2 linked regions of the Notamacropus eugenii genome follow. The protein of the gene in region 1 interacts with the protein of each later gene in a biochemical or structural test. Links are inferred from orthologs where the notes say so. Each region holds a gene or a part of one and is shown on either strand. Other genes may lie near its edges.

Region 1 (7,950 bases):
AATCAAACATAATGGAGCAATTTCTATAAACAGAATCAAAACTTTAGAATGCATGATTGAATACAGAAAGGTCTCTCAAGCAGTTAAAACCATCTACCTAAAACATGTATACAGTATATATATAGCTATTTCAATTTGCAACAGAGAATACAGCAAGGAAACAACCTGTTCTCTATCCTTTAGAATGAATTTCAAATCAAATAACAATATAATTTACCTTGTACTGTCACTGGTTCTAAAATGTTACATAATAAAAGTTTGCTGCTACAATTACAAAAATCTATGTCCTTTACAATGATAGATATCAAGCAGACCCTTAATTTAGAATGTTCATCAACTGTAAACATAGGTATAAGAAAGCTTCAGTGGTAAGGTGTAATTTTCTCTAAGTTTTTGTTTTCTATTTTGCCTTGTCCAGTTTTCATACAAAAGTTTCATGCTATACTCTTCATGGCTCAATACAAGCCAAGTGATCACAGAAAAATATCTTAATTTGGCAAATAAATTTATCATTTTCCTGAGTCTGATCCAAAATTTTCGGAGGAGTTTATAGATAACATTCTCAAAAGCAAAATGTGTCCCATATAAAGCACACACAGTAGGTCTCTCAAAGCAACATACATAATCACTTTTACTTTTCGTTCCTTCCCCCCAGACAATAATTTTGTTTGTTTCCATTAAGGTTTCTCTACAACACCAGAAAGGAAAGCTTCCAACAAATTTTGTTTAATGTACTTGTACAAAATCATCTGTGACCTTGTTACTAAAAGTGTCACCAAAAAGACAAGTCACATAGCCAAATGAAAGAGAATGTAAAATATTGCAAACGAAAAAATTCTCCTCTCTTTAAAAATATATCAAAAGCATTCTTCAACTTGTTTCCTTCATGTTAAGAAAAAAAATCAACTTTTCACTTAAAAAACATACCAATAATTTTTCATTTTATTCAATTGAGCCACCATGCTTAAAAGTTATTCTCTTTTCCTCTTCCCCTTCTCCTAAAAGGACTGGGATAATTACAAAACCAGAAACATGACCTTTCTTAATAAATATAAATCTTGGAATAGACATGTCTGTGATTGTTATATCTCATTGTATTTCTCTGCTATTTCAAAAGGTAATTGACAAGCCCCTAATTTAACTGTACCAGACAGTTCTATCTGTCCCATCTCTGGTCAAACACTGCCTCTCTGTTTCTATTCATTATGCATTATATGGGATTCTAAAGCAGCATGGCAGGATCAAAAATTACAAATCTCATGACATCTGAGGTCCACAAATCTTCAGATTATGTCTCCCTTCACAAGCACTAACAGACATTATTAAAACGGCTAACCATGTTGTTTGCAACAGCACCATCCTAAAAACATCCACCTTCTGCTTCTCTGAGAACCCAGTGGCACACAAAAATCAGACACTCATGAAACACTGCAAACCAAACTTGAGAAGATTCAACGACCAATGACCTTGTTAAGTGGGAGTCTTTTTCCCCCTCCCCCCAATTCATCCTCCTGAAGAAAAATGCCGCAAAACCGAGCCGAAGCACGAATACTGCCTGCCAGGCTGACGGCAGGCAGATCTGCTTGTCACACTTCCCCAGTGCCCGCTCTGCCGCAAGGAGAGAGGGAAGGAGGCGGAGAAAAGTAAGAGCCTCACCAGCTCCCGAGAAGATGCTCCAGTGACCTCTGGCTAATGGAGAGAGCTGAGCAGGGAGCGGCGGCAGCGGCAGGGTGTGCATACTCTGCCCCCAAAGCATTCCTCACATTCCTACACAATCTACCGCCCGAGGAACAAACAGCGCGCGTCTCCTCCAGGCACACACACACCTGCCTATTCATCAGCCCTAAGCGGCTACAACCACGGTTTCAGAGCCGCACTCGGCGGCTTGTCGCACTCCGCCAACACGCAGCTAAATCCGAGCCAAATCCCCCTCCCTGCCCGGGCAAAGGAGGCTAGTGGCAAAAAGCTGCTCCGAGACAGCCGCCCAACGGCCGAGGAAACGTTATTTCAACTCCTGCGCGTAACATGTTGGGGAGCCTGGGGGATCGGGGGAGAAAAGATGTGCAGGAGGCAAAAGAAGACTGGTAGAGAAGTGAACTGAGGAGTACATGCAGGAGTGCGGATCAGGGGGAAAGGGGCTAAAGCAACACTCACGGAGAGAATAAGGGTGTGTGGAAGATGACCAAGAAGGGGTGAGGGGTGCAAGACAGACCTCCACGCTGGAATTGGGGTAGGGGAGGCGGAGAAGAGGTGTTCAAAGAAAGGAAAAGCGCAAAGCAAAGTGGAAGATCTAACCAGTTCTCCAGAATTCAGTTAAGACTGGTGGGAAGAGGACAGGGGTTTAAAGGCTTGTAGGAGATGGAGAATTTAGGGCAAATCAGATGAACAGGAGGTTTTACTAGAGAAGAAGGAGTGGGGGAGTGGGGAAGAGAAACGAAGGTGAGGGCAGAATGAAAGAGGGTATGGGGAAGAGGAAGAAGAAGCCAAAGTACGGGGCATAAAGCCAGAAGGGACAGGAGAGGGAAAGGAGCAAGGGCAGATTTGCAGGGAAGGATTAGTCGGAGGGGAGGAGGAGGGAGAGGAGGTTGGTGGGGAAGGGCGGAATCTGAAAGCCACAGACCAGGGAGAGACCGGAGAGTATAAATATATACACAGTCCAGGAAGGTAGAGAGGTAAGCAGAAGGGAAGGGGGAAAAATCCTGGGAAAAGCAAATGGAGGTGGAAACTTCAGTGCCTTGGGGGGTGGGGGGGAGGGGAGAAGGCGAGTGCAGGCAGGAACACGAGGCGGGGCAGGAAAGGAGAGAAGTAGGTGGGTGGGGGCGGTTGTAACGGGAGTCTCCCCTTCCCACACCCTCCCCCACCCTCGCCCCGATCCCGAGGTTTGCGGGGTGAGCCGAGGGAACAGTACCAGGAGTCGGGAAGTGAAGGGCCACGGAGTGGGGGGTGGGGATAAGGTTCGGCGCCCTCCCCGCCTGCCGCACACTTACTTTCCAGGTTAGGAAGCGGCTGCCGACGCTCCGGGAATCGGGGACATCCGCGCGGAGGGGTCGCGGCTGCGGCACCCAAAAAAAAAGTGCCAGGGCCAAGGGAGCTTCCCTCCCCTTCCCCCGAACCCCCCCGCTGAACCCCCTCCCGCCCGCCCGCCCCCTCCCCTGCAACACTTCTCCCACCCCACCCCCGGGAGGCGGCGGCGGCGGCCAACTTCCCCCTCTACCCGGTGCCCATGGTGCCACCTTCCTCGGCGACAGCACGGAATCAGCCCCGGTGCCTGGGTGCTGCCGAGCTCCGCCAAGCAGCCCCCACCGCCCAGTCAGTCAGTCAGTCAGCCAGCCAGCCAGCCTAGGGCTCCCGGGAACGTCAGCACGCCGCCGTCCCCCGACCTGCTCCGCACCCGCTTTCATTGGACGGCAGGAAAAGGCTGTCCCACCCTATTGGCCCGGCCCTCATATTGAACGGGCCAATGGAATTCGGGGTTTCAGGTCGCCATAGAGACCGATGCTGTTAAGAGCGAGAGCGGCTAGAAAAGGTGGAGAGGGTGGGGAGAACGAAGGTGTCCGGCTTCGGGGGTGGGGACCCTGGGGGTGGGTTACGAGGAGCCAGAGTATCCTAGATCTAGATCCAAAAAGGACTTCGGGGGCCACCTAGTCCAGCCCCTTCATTTTACTTTTGAGAAAACTGAGAGCCCGGAAGGTCCCAGTGATTTGCCTAGAACCACCCGGGTAGGAGGAGGAGTGGGAGGATTTGAGCCGGGGGGATTCCCTCATTCCGTATCTTAGACGTGGATTGGGTGGGCCTTCCCTTCCCTTTCTTCCCCTGATTTCTTGCTTCCCCCTTGACAGGCCTTGTCCGTGGTACCGAAGACACCCTACCCCACCCCCAAACCCATATAATTTACCTGTCCCTGAAGGTGACCTCAGAAACAAGTACTGCATGCACTTGTCCTTGGTTTGGGAAACGGGCCCCTGAAACTACGCCCTTTGACCTAAATGCAGCATCAGCTAATGCGGGTGAGTCTGTTTTCCCATCCTTCCCTCTTCCCCCATATGCAAAATCCCCTGAATCTTGTGTTACTCAGGAATTCCTTTTCTGCATATTTATCTCACCCCCTGAAGATCTCACTTCAAAGTCGATGTTTGAAATTCAGGCCCCAACCGGGAGATATTTTTCAGGAGTATTTTTCCTTTAAAGGAAAACAAAAATGGCAAGGAAAAAGTCAGTGTGGTGAGTTACATTTTACAGTGAGTACAATAAGGACTGGAATTTAAAACACATTTTAACCTAGCCCACAACTTCTCATCTCTCCTTTAGTATCAAATGGAATTTATTAAGCTTCTGCCCATAATAGAGCAACAAAACAATCCAAGTTTGACAGACAATATCTATAGTAAGTAGGAGATTGGCTTCTGGGTAAAGGTATAATGTGCAACTTTAATGCCTCATGCTTTTTCATATTTGTATCATAATCAAGGGGAGAGAGGATGGAATCAAAATTCTGGTCAACAATTTTTAGGGAGTTTAATATTCCTTAAACTTAAGTGTGAACCTGGTTTCAGGTAACTGGAGTGAGCATGTGCATCTTAGGTTTTAATCCTGCCTCCCTTACTGCTTTGCTTTATGACATAGTCACCCTGTTCCTGTTTCCCAATCTGTAAAATGGAAATAAATGTTATTTTTCTAAGTCTAAAAAAAGGAAAATGGACCCAGTTAAAGCAAGGACAACTAATGAATTTCACAGGAAATAATTATTATATTATTGCAATGGAATATAACCATTAGTTTTCTAATGATATTTATTTTATTAAAGATAAAAGGTTTTTTTAAGCTATCAATATCCAGGTTACATTTTTATTAAAGAACCTGCTGTTTTAAAGACAATTTTGTGAAAAATGATTGTGTTTTTGGAATATCTAGAAATTTGAAGTATTTAGAAATATTTCATTGAGAGAGGAAAGTCTCTTGCTTCTGTTATGAATCTTAAATTAGATAATGTGTTTTGCTATTAGATTTTTTAAAAAAAAGTTTGGAAGCATTATACAGTAGTGTCCCTGGTCTAATCATAAATATTATGCATTAGCTCATTAATAGGGTGACTGTGTTTTCAGGCTCCGTAATATGTGTGATAAAATCCAAACCTAGTTGACATCTTTGTTCAGGGTCAGACAATCCCAGATGGCAAGTGAACATTTGTACAATTGTTTGTGGAGTGACTTGTACGTATCCAGTGCTGGGTAGGGAGCAACAAGTCAGTGGGTTCAGTGTTTTCTTGCCTTACCATCATGGGAATTTGGTCTGCCTGCTTTGGAAAGGGATAACTAACCATGCTTCTGTTGAAAGACAGAATAAGTAAAATTCAAACTTTATAAATGAACCCACAGGAAAAGTAATACATTGATGAGCATACGACATGCCAGTGCTATATAAGGTTTGATTGTAACAGCTTATGAATGCAAGGTATTTTTATTAATGCAGATAGAGCAGCAATGATTTCATTTTCTCCATTTCTGGGGCTGAATGGGAAGCAGAAGAAACAAAAACAAATTATTTTCATTGTAGAATTATATACTTTTCCAAAATGATGAATTTCATTAGGATTTTATATTGCATATGCTGTTTGTAATAATTAAAATTGAATAAAATATAACTAATTTAATTCTGTAATATGCTACAGCTCAATATACATTTATTTTACTATAACTATGGTAAAAATGGTTCTCTTTGATAAACCTACAGAACTCTAGCTACTGCCCCACTTAAAGAAAAACTAACATTGTTTGTTTCAATTAGGCTTATTTAACAGATAAATTAGTAATAGTTTGGATTACAATATAATTCTTTGCCATGCTCACAACTTCACTTCGGGGATCCTTTTAGATTATACTGGGCTGATATATTTTAAAATAATATTAACTTTACAAAAGTTCAGTTTATGCTCAACTTTTCAAGAGTGCAGCTACTTTGTAAAGTAGGGGCTTATTGTCAATCAAGTCAATCAAGTCTGACTCTTCATGACCCTATTTGGGGTTTTCTTGGCAAAGACACTGGAATGGTTTGCCATTTCCCTCTCCAAAAGTAAGGGTGCATTTGTATTAGATAATTATTCTTTGGTATACCACTTTTTTGCTAAAATAAGAGTGCAATTGCACTTATTTTGACCTGACAAAATCAAACAAGCTATTAGTGCCAAAAAATGGAAAAGAAAAAGGCAAAGGTACGAATCTTGACTATCATCATTTCCTGCAAAAGTATAACCTGTTTGTTGTCCTCCTGACAGTTTCCTTTAGCACTCTTTGTGTTTTTTCTTTTTTCCATTTTTATCTGTAGTACAAGAGGAACCACCACATGTAATCCCCAATACCTTGGTCCCAGATCTTTATCCAAGAAAATAGAAATGGCCCTTAAAGAATTGCCAGAGCAGCTGAAATATACATTCATGATATACTTACTGGAGGTAACACAATGTTGGAAGCATTGAATTAATTTTAAACATCCATCTCTGGAAAAGGAGAACACCAAAATAATAGGGAAAAAACAATGTTAATACCACCAAAGAAGAAAATAGAGAAGACAAGCTCTTTTGCTTATATTTCTCATAAAACCTTCATGAGAATGACATATAGATACAGATATATGTTCCTTACCAAGAGCATGCTTCAAGAAAATACATAAAAGGAACACTCAGGCTTTCACAAATGATTTTCTTCCACAGTCCACATCTTGGAAATTGAATAGCAGACTAAAGGTTACAAGGAAACATAAGATCCTATTGTATATATTTGATTCCAAAAAAGTAGTTGACCTAGCAAAATATAGTCAATGGCACTCTGGTTATTGAAGTTTATCAAAGTATCATGCAAGAAAACTTGTTCTTGCCAGAGATGTTTTTTTTTTCTCTCTTGTGGATGTTGTTCTATGTAGGATCCAAATGAAAGAAGAATTCTCCACAGACTGTAAGGTATTCCAGATAATCTTTGTGAATGACATTGTGCTGATTGAATCTAACATGAGAACATTACAAGGCCTTCTCAGTGAGATCCATGATTATACAAAAGAGATCAACCTAACAATCCCTAGAGGAAAAAAACTAAATGGATGAAAAATGCTGACTGATGTCCAGCATTTGTTGGAACAACAAACAGTTCACTGAGTCAGTATATCATGTCTGGGTCAAGCACTGCAGCTGGAAACTGAGTTGGGCCCAGAGTTGAATGGTAGGAAGAGAGCAAGCTGCGTTGCTTTAAGAAAGTGCAACATTTCAACAATCCCAAGCTTCTTCCTGACATAAAAAAAGAGTCTTTGATTTTATCTTTAATGCTCTATTTTAAGCTGAATATTAAATATCAATATAAATCATTGAATTTACTTTGCAACTATTTGCATTCAAATAAATTTTAATATGTAATATGTCACTTCTCCCCTTAGTCTCCATCAGTTTCTTTTTCACTTGTCATTTACTTTTTATATGTTCGTAATGGGATTTTGGTCCTATTTCATCTAGAATTAATTTTTTGGGAATTTGAAGCCCTTTTTGAGGTTCATTTCACAACACACACACACACACACACACACACACACACACACACACGCCAAACTATTGCCTGGAATGCACTCCTTCCTCATCTTTAAGATCCCTAGTTTCCATCAAAACTCAATTCAAGCACCACCTCCAACATGAGGTCTTTTGTATTTACTTATGTATCCGTAGAGATTGTTTCCCCCATAGAATGTAAGCTCTTCAAAGTAAGGAATTATTTCATTTTATTTTTTTGGCCTTTGTAACCCCATTGCCTGACATATAGTAGGCACTTAAATGCTCATTGATTGATTAATTCTGGTTCTGCCTTTTCCCACCCCTTTTTGTATTGTATTTTATAAAGGTCTTTCTAGATTTTTTTATATTCCTTATGTGTTTTTTTAATAAAATCAGTGAATTTTATCAAGTATACTATAATT
Region 2 (7,272 bases), on another chromosome or scaffold:
CTGACTTGGGGAAAAATTGGCAGTAAACAGTGATTGAAGATGACCTTGTTAAGTATTCTTCTACCTCTAATTATCTGTATTTCCTTAAACTTTCTAAATTATAGGTTTTTAGTCATAACCCAAATAAGTTAGTTCTTAACTATTTTAATAAAGAGCTCTGATTTATACAAAAAGTATCATTGAATGCAAAAGTAGGCTAACTTAGATCTCTCAGTTAACCAAACCTATGGAAAGTCTACCTCTTTGGACACACAGTCAACACCCAAGTCCATCCTGTGTCACTTGACCTCAATTGTACGTCAAGTATTTTAAAGAAAATTCAGTCTTGTTAAATATAACCCTTACAAACTCAAAGTCAAATTTGCTGACTACAAACGGCACAATAACCCATTCTAATATTCAACAATTCTCCCAGTCAGCTTAGTTTTCCTTTCTATAACCCAAATCTGTCATTTCTGTAGCTCAAGTCAATTTCCTTCTCCTATTCTGTCCTTGTGAGAAATGCTGGACTGCTGCTTATCATTTCCTTCTAAGAAGCTACCTTCATTTAGCTGACCTTACAGGTCTTATTTTTAACCTTACAGTCATTTTTGTAGCTCTTAGGGACATGGTAGACTATAGTGGAGGGGGAAAAAAATTACCTCCATTTCCTGCTGGACACACAAACTATATCTTCTGAAATTGGTAAAGAAATCCAAATTATGTCATGTCAACATATATTGTCGGAGAAAAAACCTTGCACAGCTTTTCCTTATGTATTTCACTGGGTTTTTTTGTTTGGTTTTTGTTTTGAAGAAACTGTGTTAGGAAAGGGAAATGGGGAGAAGGAGGAGGAGAGAGAGGGAAAAGAAAGGAAGGAGGGAAGAAACAGAAGGAAAGGAAGAAGGGGGAGGAAGTTTAACTTCTACACCCAGCAGGCTAACCGAAAACATCACAGCATACCTGCCCTGAGACACCCAGTCCTCTGCAATCACTCACCAGCTTCTAAGAGTGCAGAGAAGATATGCAGGGAATGGCATTCATGATGGTTTGTGATATGACTAGTGGTTATAAAATAAGCATAAGGCATCTGGGAAAATGCAAAAGATAAGAAGTTTGGAGCTGGGATCATTTAAGATTCCAGGGAGGATTGTCTGAAAAGTCAAATCCCTCCTGCACTGGCCAATCATCAGAGAAATGGGGACACTGCCTAATGAAGTTTTAACATGGACAATAAATGAGACAAATACAAAAGAAAAACTGTGGATTTTAAGGTCACAAAAGGTCAATGAGTTAAGTACAAGACCTGCTTCATACAAAGGGGCCAGCTGATTTTTGCAGATAATTTCCACTTCAGCTGCTAAATAATAATGTAATAGCTAACATTTTGTAGTACTTACTATGTACCAGACACTGTACTAAGTACATAGTACTTAAAATACTATGTGTACTTTATATAATATATATTATAAATATTATCTCACTGGATCCTCACGACAACCCTGGGAGGCCGGTGCTATCCTTATCCCCATTTTACAGATGAGGAAACTGAGGCAAACAGAGCTTAAGTGACTTGCCCTGGGTTCCACAGCTAGTAAGTGTCTGAGGCTGGATTTGAACTTAGGTCTGCCTTACTTTAGGTCTAGTAAGCACTCTATCTATTGTACCACCTGAAGTGAGAGATGACTGAGAGTTTTGAATGGGATGCTGGGGACTGGGGGTGGGAGGGAGGAAGGAGACATGGCTTTCCATGAAGACCATAGTGACCAGTAACATTGCCTGTTTATTCTTGCCCTTATCATATTCTGATGAAGAATACGGCGTCTGGTTTCCAGTAGAGATGCTAAGAATATGAATGAGCCAGCACCCTCCCCTGAGCCACCAAGGCATCATATGCAATGAGGGAAAGAAAAGCAGGAGCCATTTTCCTCCTGAATAACGTCTTCATGATAAGAAATGTATAATGGTCCCATATTGGGCACTATGTCATCTCAGAATCAAAACCACTTTGTAAGTATTATCATAATCCCTGACAGGGAGTAAACCTCAGAGCAAAAGATGCCCTCTCGAAGAACAAGGCTAAGTTGATCTGGGAACCACAAGAGAGGAAAGGAGAAGGAATAGGAGTAGGAAGAAGAGGGGTAAGAGGAGGGAGAAAAGGAGAAGGAGGAGGAGAAGAAGGATCCAGAATTATCCAATACCAGACCAGCCTCAACAGTGCACCATCCTCTGAAAAGCCTCATATCCCATGCTTTGGGCTGCACATTGAAACAACACAAACTATAACACAGGAGGTGTCATGGGTGCATCTCTGGAAGCCTCTGGGCTGCTAAGGCGAGGTGGGGGCAAGGGAGGATTGCCAGGCTGAGCAAACCCATCCCTCCTCTTGCCATAGGAGGCAGTTCCAGACATAGCAGGGTCTGGCATCCTGTCAAGGATTTCGAGGGCAAGTCAGCATCATTTCTAGGGAGCAGCACGTAATTAAACTCACTTGTCCAGGAGAGGCAGTTGGCAGGCTCAGACTGGGGACCCACCAATGTTTCTCTGAGTGGGTGCGCAAATTCACTGAAGGAGGTACTGCTTCAGTAGGCAGGGGGCAGAAGGCTCTAGGGGGGGCCGCTGAGTCAAACGCCCCAGCCATACCAGTACAGTTTAACCTAAACCCCTCTCCTGCAAACCAAATCCATTTCTTCCTCTTAGTCTGTCCTCACAGGAAATGAAGAACAGCGGCTCATCAGGAAATGCAGGGAGGTTGGATTCTTAGTAAATCAGAAGCTTGGGTGGGGTTTAAGTGGCGTCCAAAGAAAATTCAGAGATCATCTACAAAACTCAGGGTGCATGCTTCCTCTCCTTAGCAGATGGTCCCAGATCTTTTCTTTGGCCCGACCATTGTTACGATTTCTCCTAACTTCTTTCTGTTGCAATGTCTGAGAAGCAAGTGTTTCTCCATCTTTTAAATACCTGCTCCATCTCCATTTCCACCTCCAGGAGTCTAAGACATTTCTGGCTTGAGGTTAGAGAACTCCAGCTCAGATCAGTACATTGCCTGTTTCAAGGGGAAGGCAATCAAAACTCTTCTTTTCCAGTTGTTACCATTTCTTTCCCCCTCCCTCTCCTCCCAATAGCTGGAATGGCAAAATCCAGATGTTTCCCCTCCTCTAATGTGACTCTCCATCAAACATCATCAATAAAATTGCACTCAAACTCTTACAATCTTTCCCATGGTGAATAAATCATCATTTGGAAGGCGTTTCCCACTACCTTGCATAGATGTAGTACAGGATCTCAAAGCACTTTGTCTAAAAGCATTCTTAGGTCCATGGAACCTGTGTAAGATGAGTAAAGTGAGTAAAAGTAGACTCAGCATTGGTATTTACAGTATCACAAGTTTTGAGCTAGAAGTTATCATAGGGGCTATCTAGTTCAATCCTCTCATTTTGTGGATGAAGAAACCTTAAAGATCTAAAGAGGCAAGATAAGTTGTTCGAGTTCACCCAGGTAGTGATATGGCAAAAGTGAATTTGAACCCAGGTCTTCTGACTCCAAAACTAACATTTTTTTTTCATTGACTATCACTGTCTCCCAAGAAACAACAACTCCAAGAGTTTAACCAAACAGAAAGAATAACTGCAAGGATTTGATCCATCACTGATGGGTATTTGGTTTGGGTCCCCTAAATAGCCCATCTGAGCCTGAGGCTTGCCACTGAACCTAGTATACCAGAGGAAAGCCAGAAACAGCAACCCTGAGCCTCAGCTCGTCACCGACAGCCAGGCCCACACAACTCCCACCCCAAAGACTGAAGAAAGACTTCAGGGTTCTTTTCAATGCCTGTCTCCAAAGAGGAAGGTGCAGCTGCCTGATAACTGGACTCATGCAAACCCTACTTTTCAAGAAGGCATTTCCTTAAACATAAACTGCCTTGCACACATTGACAATATTTTTGTTTCCAAATGTCGCTAACAAGTCACCATGGATACTTCAGTCAGCTCAGAGAGAAAACACCCAGGAAGACGTTTTAATGGCAAAAGAACACCAATTAATCTTAATATTCTACTATCAAATATGCTGCTTCCCTCTTCTCTCTCTCTCTTTCTCCCTTCTTCTCTGTCTACTCACTTTCTCCTCTCCCTTTCTCTTTCCTCTCTCTTCTTTCTTCTTTGTCTCTCTCCATCTCTCTATATATGTCTCTTCTTCTCTCTCTCTCTCTCTCTCTCTCTCTCTCTCTCTCTCTCTCTTCCTCCCTCTCTCCCTCCCTCCCTCTCCCTCTCCTTCTCCCCTCCATCTTCCTCTCCCCCTCTTCCTTTCTTCACTATCCTAGAATCATCATAATCCTCCCATAGCCAGAAAACCCGCACTTCACTAACAGATCAATTCCCGATATGTAATACTAGCAGGTGGAGGCTTCAGCAACGTGGGGGGATCCTGCTGCTCACCCACAACATAAAGTTAAGAAAAAATGCAATTTACCTCCCAAGCCAAGAAGCATATGGTCCATTGCCCTTGTTCCAGCTTGGCCTGATGAACTCCTGCTAAAGCCAATCCTGGGCACAGGCAGCCCAGCGTATGACCCTCAAGAGGGAAACAAATTGTCCGTCACCCTTTCCAGCAACCCAGCTTTTCCTGGGCATGGCAAAAATACACAGTACGTTCCCAGCACTTTGAGATTTCAAAGAACCCAGCAATCACTCATTAACTCATCCACCCAACATCCTGCACAGTTGGACGCTCCTGGACCACTTTCAATTTTGGTTGAAATGTTTTTTCCCAAGCAAAGTGTTTTGCTATCATAAACAGGCTTTCTTTTTTCTGGTGGGACTGACCTGACTGTTTTAGGCCATAGGGATGAGGTCAAAGACTTCAATGGTCTCAAACTAGTGAGGCGGAAAACAGTGACTACAATATAAGCAAAATGCACGTCTCATTTAGTGACAGAACAAAAAGGTTCTAGAGATGTTAACTGGCATCCAAGACCACTCAGCAAGTCAATTGGTAGGGTAGTTTGACACAAGCCTTGAGCCCTTTCTCTCACAAAACCAGTCCTAGAGGCAAGACCCTCTTGCTTCCCTCAATCTAGAAGTCACATATTTTTTTTTTTTACTAAGTTCCATATCTTCCCTCATTTCCTACCTCTCACCCATAATGCCCTTCTCTTTACCAACTAAAATCCTATTGGTCCATCAAGGGTCTACTCAAGCACAATTTCCTCTTGTGAAATGTTCCTTGATTACTTCAACACACAGTGACAGCTCTGTCCTCTGAACTTCTTTGACAATGATTATCTGTCTACACATGCCCAGTGCAGAGTAGATGCTGAATTATCACTTGCCGATGAGAGGTAACATGACACTGTACAAAGAGTAATGCATGTAACATCAGGAGATGTTTCAGTTCAAATTCCCACTCTGATGCTTAGTAGCACTGTGACCCTGGATAAGTCACTCATCCTTTGAGACTCCATTTTGTCATGTGAAAAAGGAGAATCATAATTTTTCTGCCTAGCTCAGAGTCGGCATCAAGAAAATGTTTTGTAAAGCTTAAAGCCCTAGAGAACTGTGAATTACTGATATTAATATTAAAGATAAACTGAGCATTAGCACAGCTCCGATTGCCTGGGATTACAGAGCCTGTTAGTGGCTTATCATCTGATGCCACTGGTTCAGACACAGGGAAGTGGGGCTACACCACCAGAACTCCTTCCCATCCCGCCTCATTCATTAATACAGAGTCCACCCAGTCCAAACTCTCCATCTTACAAATGAGAAAACTGAGGAACGGGGAGGTTAAACAACTTGCCCAAGATCATTCAAATAGCAAACACTGAACCCGAATCCTCTGACTTCAGAGTTCCAATTTTCTTTCCATCACCTTCAGATAGGACCCTATAGCAACAGAATCTGCTAGGTGGGAAGCCTGGGGCAGGCAGAGTCTGCTGTTGCTTGTGATCCACCCATCCCCCTTCCAGGAGTACAATGAATATGATAAAATAGATAGAAAAGAAATACATCTCCACCTACAAATTTTCATTTGTAATGTTTTTTATTAAGGCTTGATGGAAGAAGATGAAATAATTGTCTTGCAAGCAGTTTGAGGATTGGGCATGAACTTTATTTGATCTTTTCTCAGCCTTCATCATGGGTAATTGAGAGCTGAGTTTGCTTATGTTAATGTGGCTCATGCTTTCTTTGTGGTATATTATGATCCATGATTTTATAAGTTTTAAACTGAAAAATCCCAATGGCCATAGATGACTTTAGCAGTTGTGTGAAATGAGCTCTGGATTTGGAATCAGAAGGGGACCTGGGTTCAAATACTGACTCACTATCCATGTGATTATGGATAAGTCAAAGTCTTCCTCAGCCTCAGTTTCCTTATCTGCAAAATTAAAGCATTGGTCTAGAGCAGTGGTCTATGGCATTGATGTCAAACCCAAATGGAAAGGGGGCCTCTAAACCATACATAAGGATGTGTGGCACATTATCTATGTTCCAATTGTATTTATTTAATTTGCTAAATATTTCCCAATTACATTTTAATCCAGTTCCCATGTGCCAGCCATGACACAGCCAGTCTGAGGGTTTCATATTTGATTCCTTTGGTCTATGTGACGTTATGCAGTAAGGACTTACTAAATGCTTGTTGATTGGTCTCCAAATTTCTTTCCAGCTTTAGATTCTGTGTCTATACAGAGTGTCTCACTTTGTCTTTGTATCTCTAACAACCAGCACAGTACCCAGTATATGGTGGTGATTTAAAAATGCTTTTAGATTGAGAGGTTTTTAACTTTTTTTCCTTTTGGAGATTTTTTAAAATATCCCAGACCTTTCCTAATATCCTCCCTTTCTTCTGTACCCCCAGTTCCCCACAGAACCTTTCCTGGGTTTTAAAAAAGAAAAAGTTAAACACCATCTAACAACATTCACAACCCTTCAAAGGGTTCTCCCATAGCATCCCATGCACTTAATGGTGGCCACAAGTATGATGGCAATGATGCTCAATGACCTTAAGTCCCTGTTAGATTGGGAAAATCAAACAAAGCAAATTGATGTGCACTTGCATTTGGGTTAGGTAGCGTACAGGCAGACATTTTCTGACTGACAGAGACCAAAATATTCATAGCAGTGCTTTTATGGCAGCAAAGAAGTAGAAACAATGTAAGATTCATTGGAAATGATTAAATACACTGAAGTACTTGAATATCATGGAATATTGCTCAGCCACAGGAAACTACAAAAATAAAAGATTCAGAGAAACACAGGAAGATTTTAAAAAATTATTTTTCTTTTTTTATTA

Evidence for each region. The genes of interacting proteins can lie anywhere in the genome.
Region 2: the proteins of PKP4 (region 1) and PDZD2 form a complex in vitro, tested with the Homo sapiens proteins (2 studies listed by BioGRID and IntAct, with this or other methods). The link is inferred for Notamacropus eugenii from reciprocal best matches to the Homo sapiens genes PKP4 and PDZD2.

Annotation. Positions count from the first base shown.
Region 1 is NC_092876.1:217,432,664-217,440,613, reverse strand, and holds the start of PKP4 (plakophilin-4), read right to left. Parts: upstream 3,093-7,950; 5' UTR 2,988-3,092; intron 2,786-2,987; exon of another isoform or gene 1-2,785. UniProt on the Homo sapiens protein: Plays a role as a regulator of Rho activity during cytokinesis. May play a role in junctional plaques.
Region 2 is NC_092875.1:429,261,940-429,269,211, reverse strand, and holds the start of PDZD2 (PDZ domain-containing protein 2), read right to left. Parts: upstream 3,100-7,272; 5' UTR 1-3,099.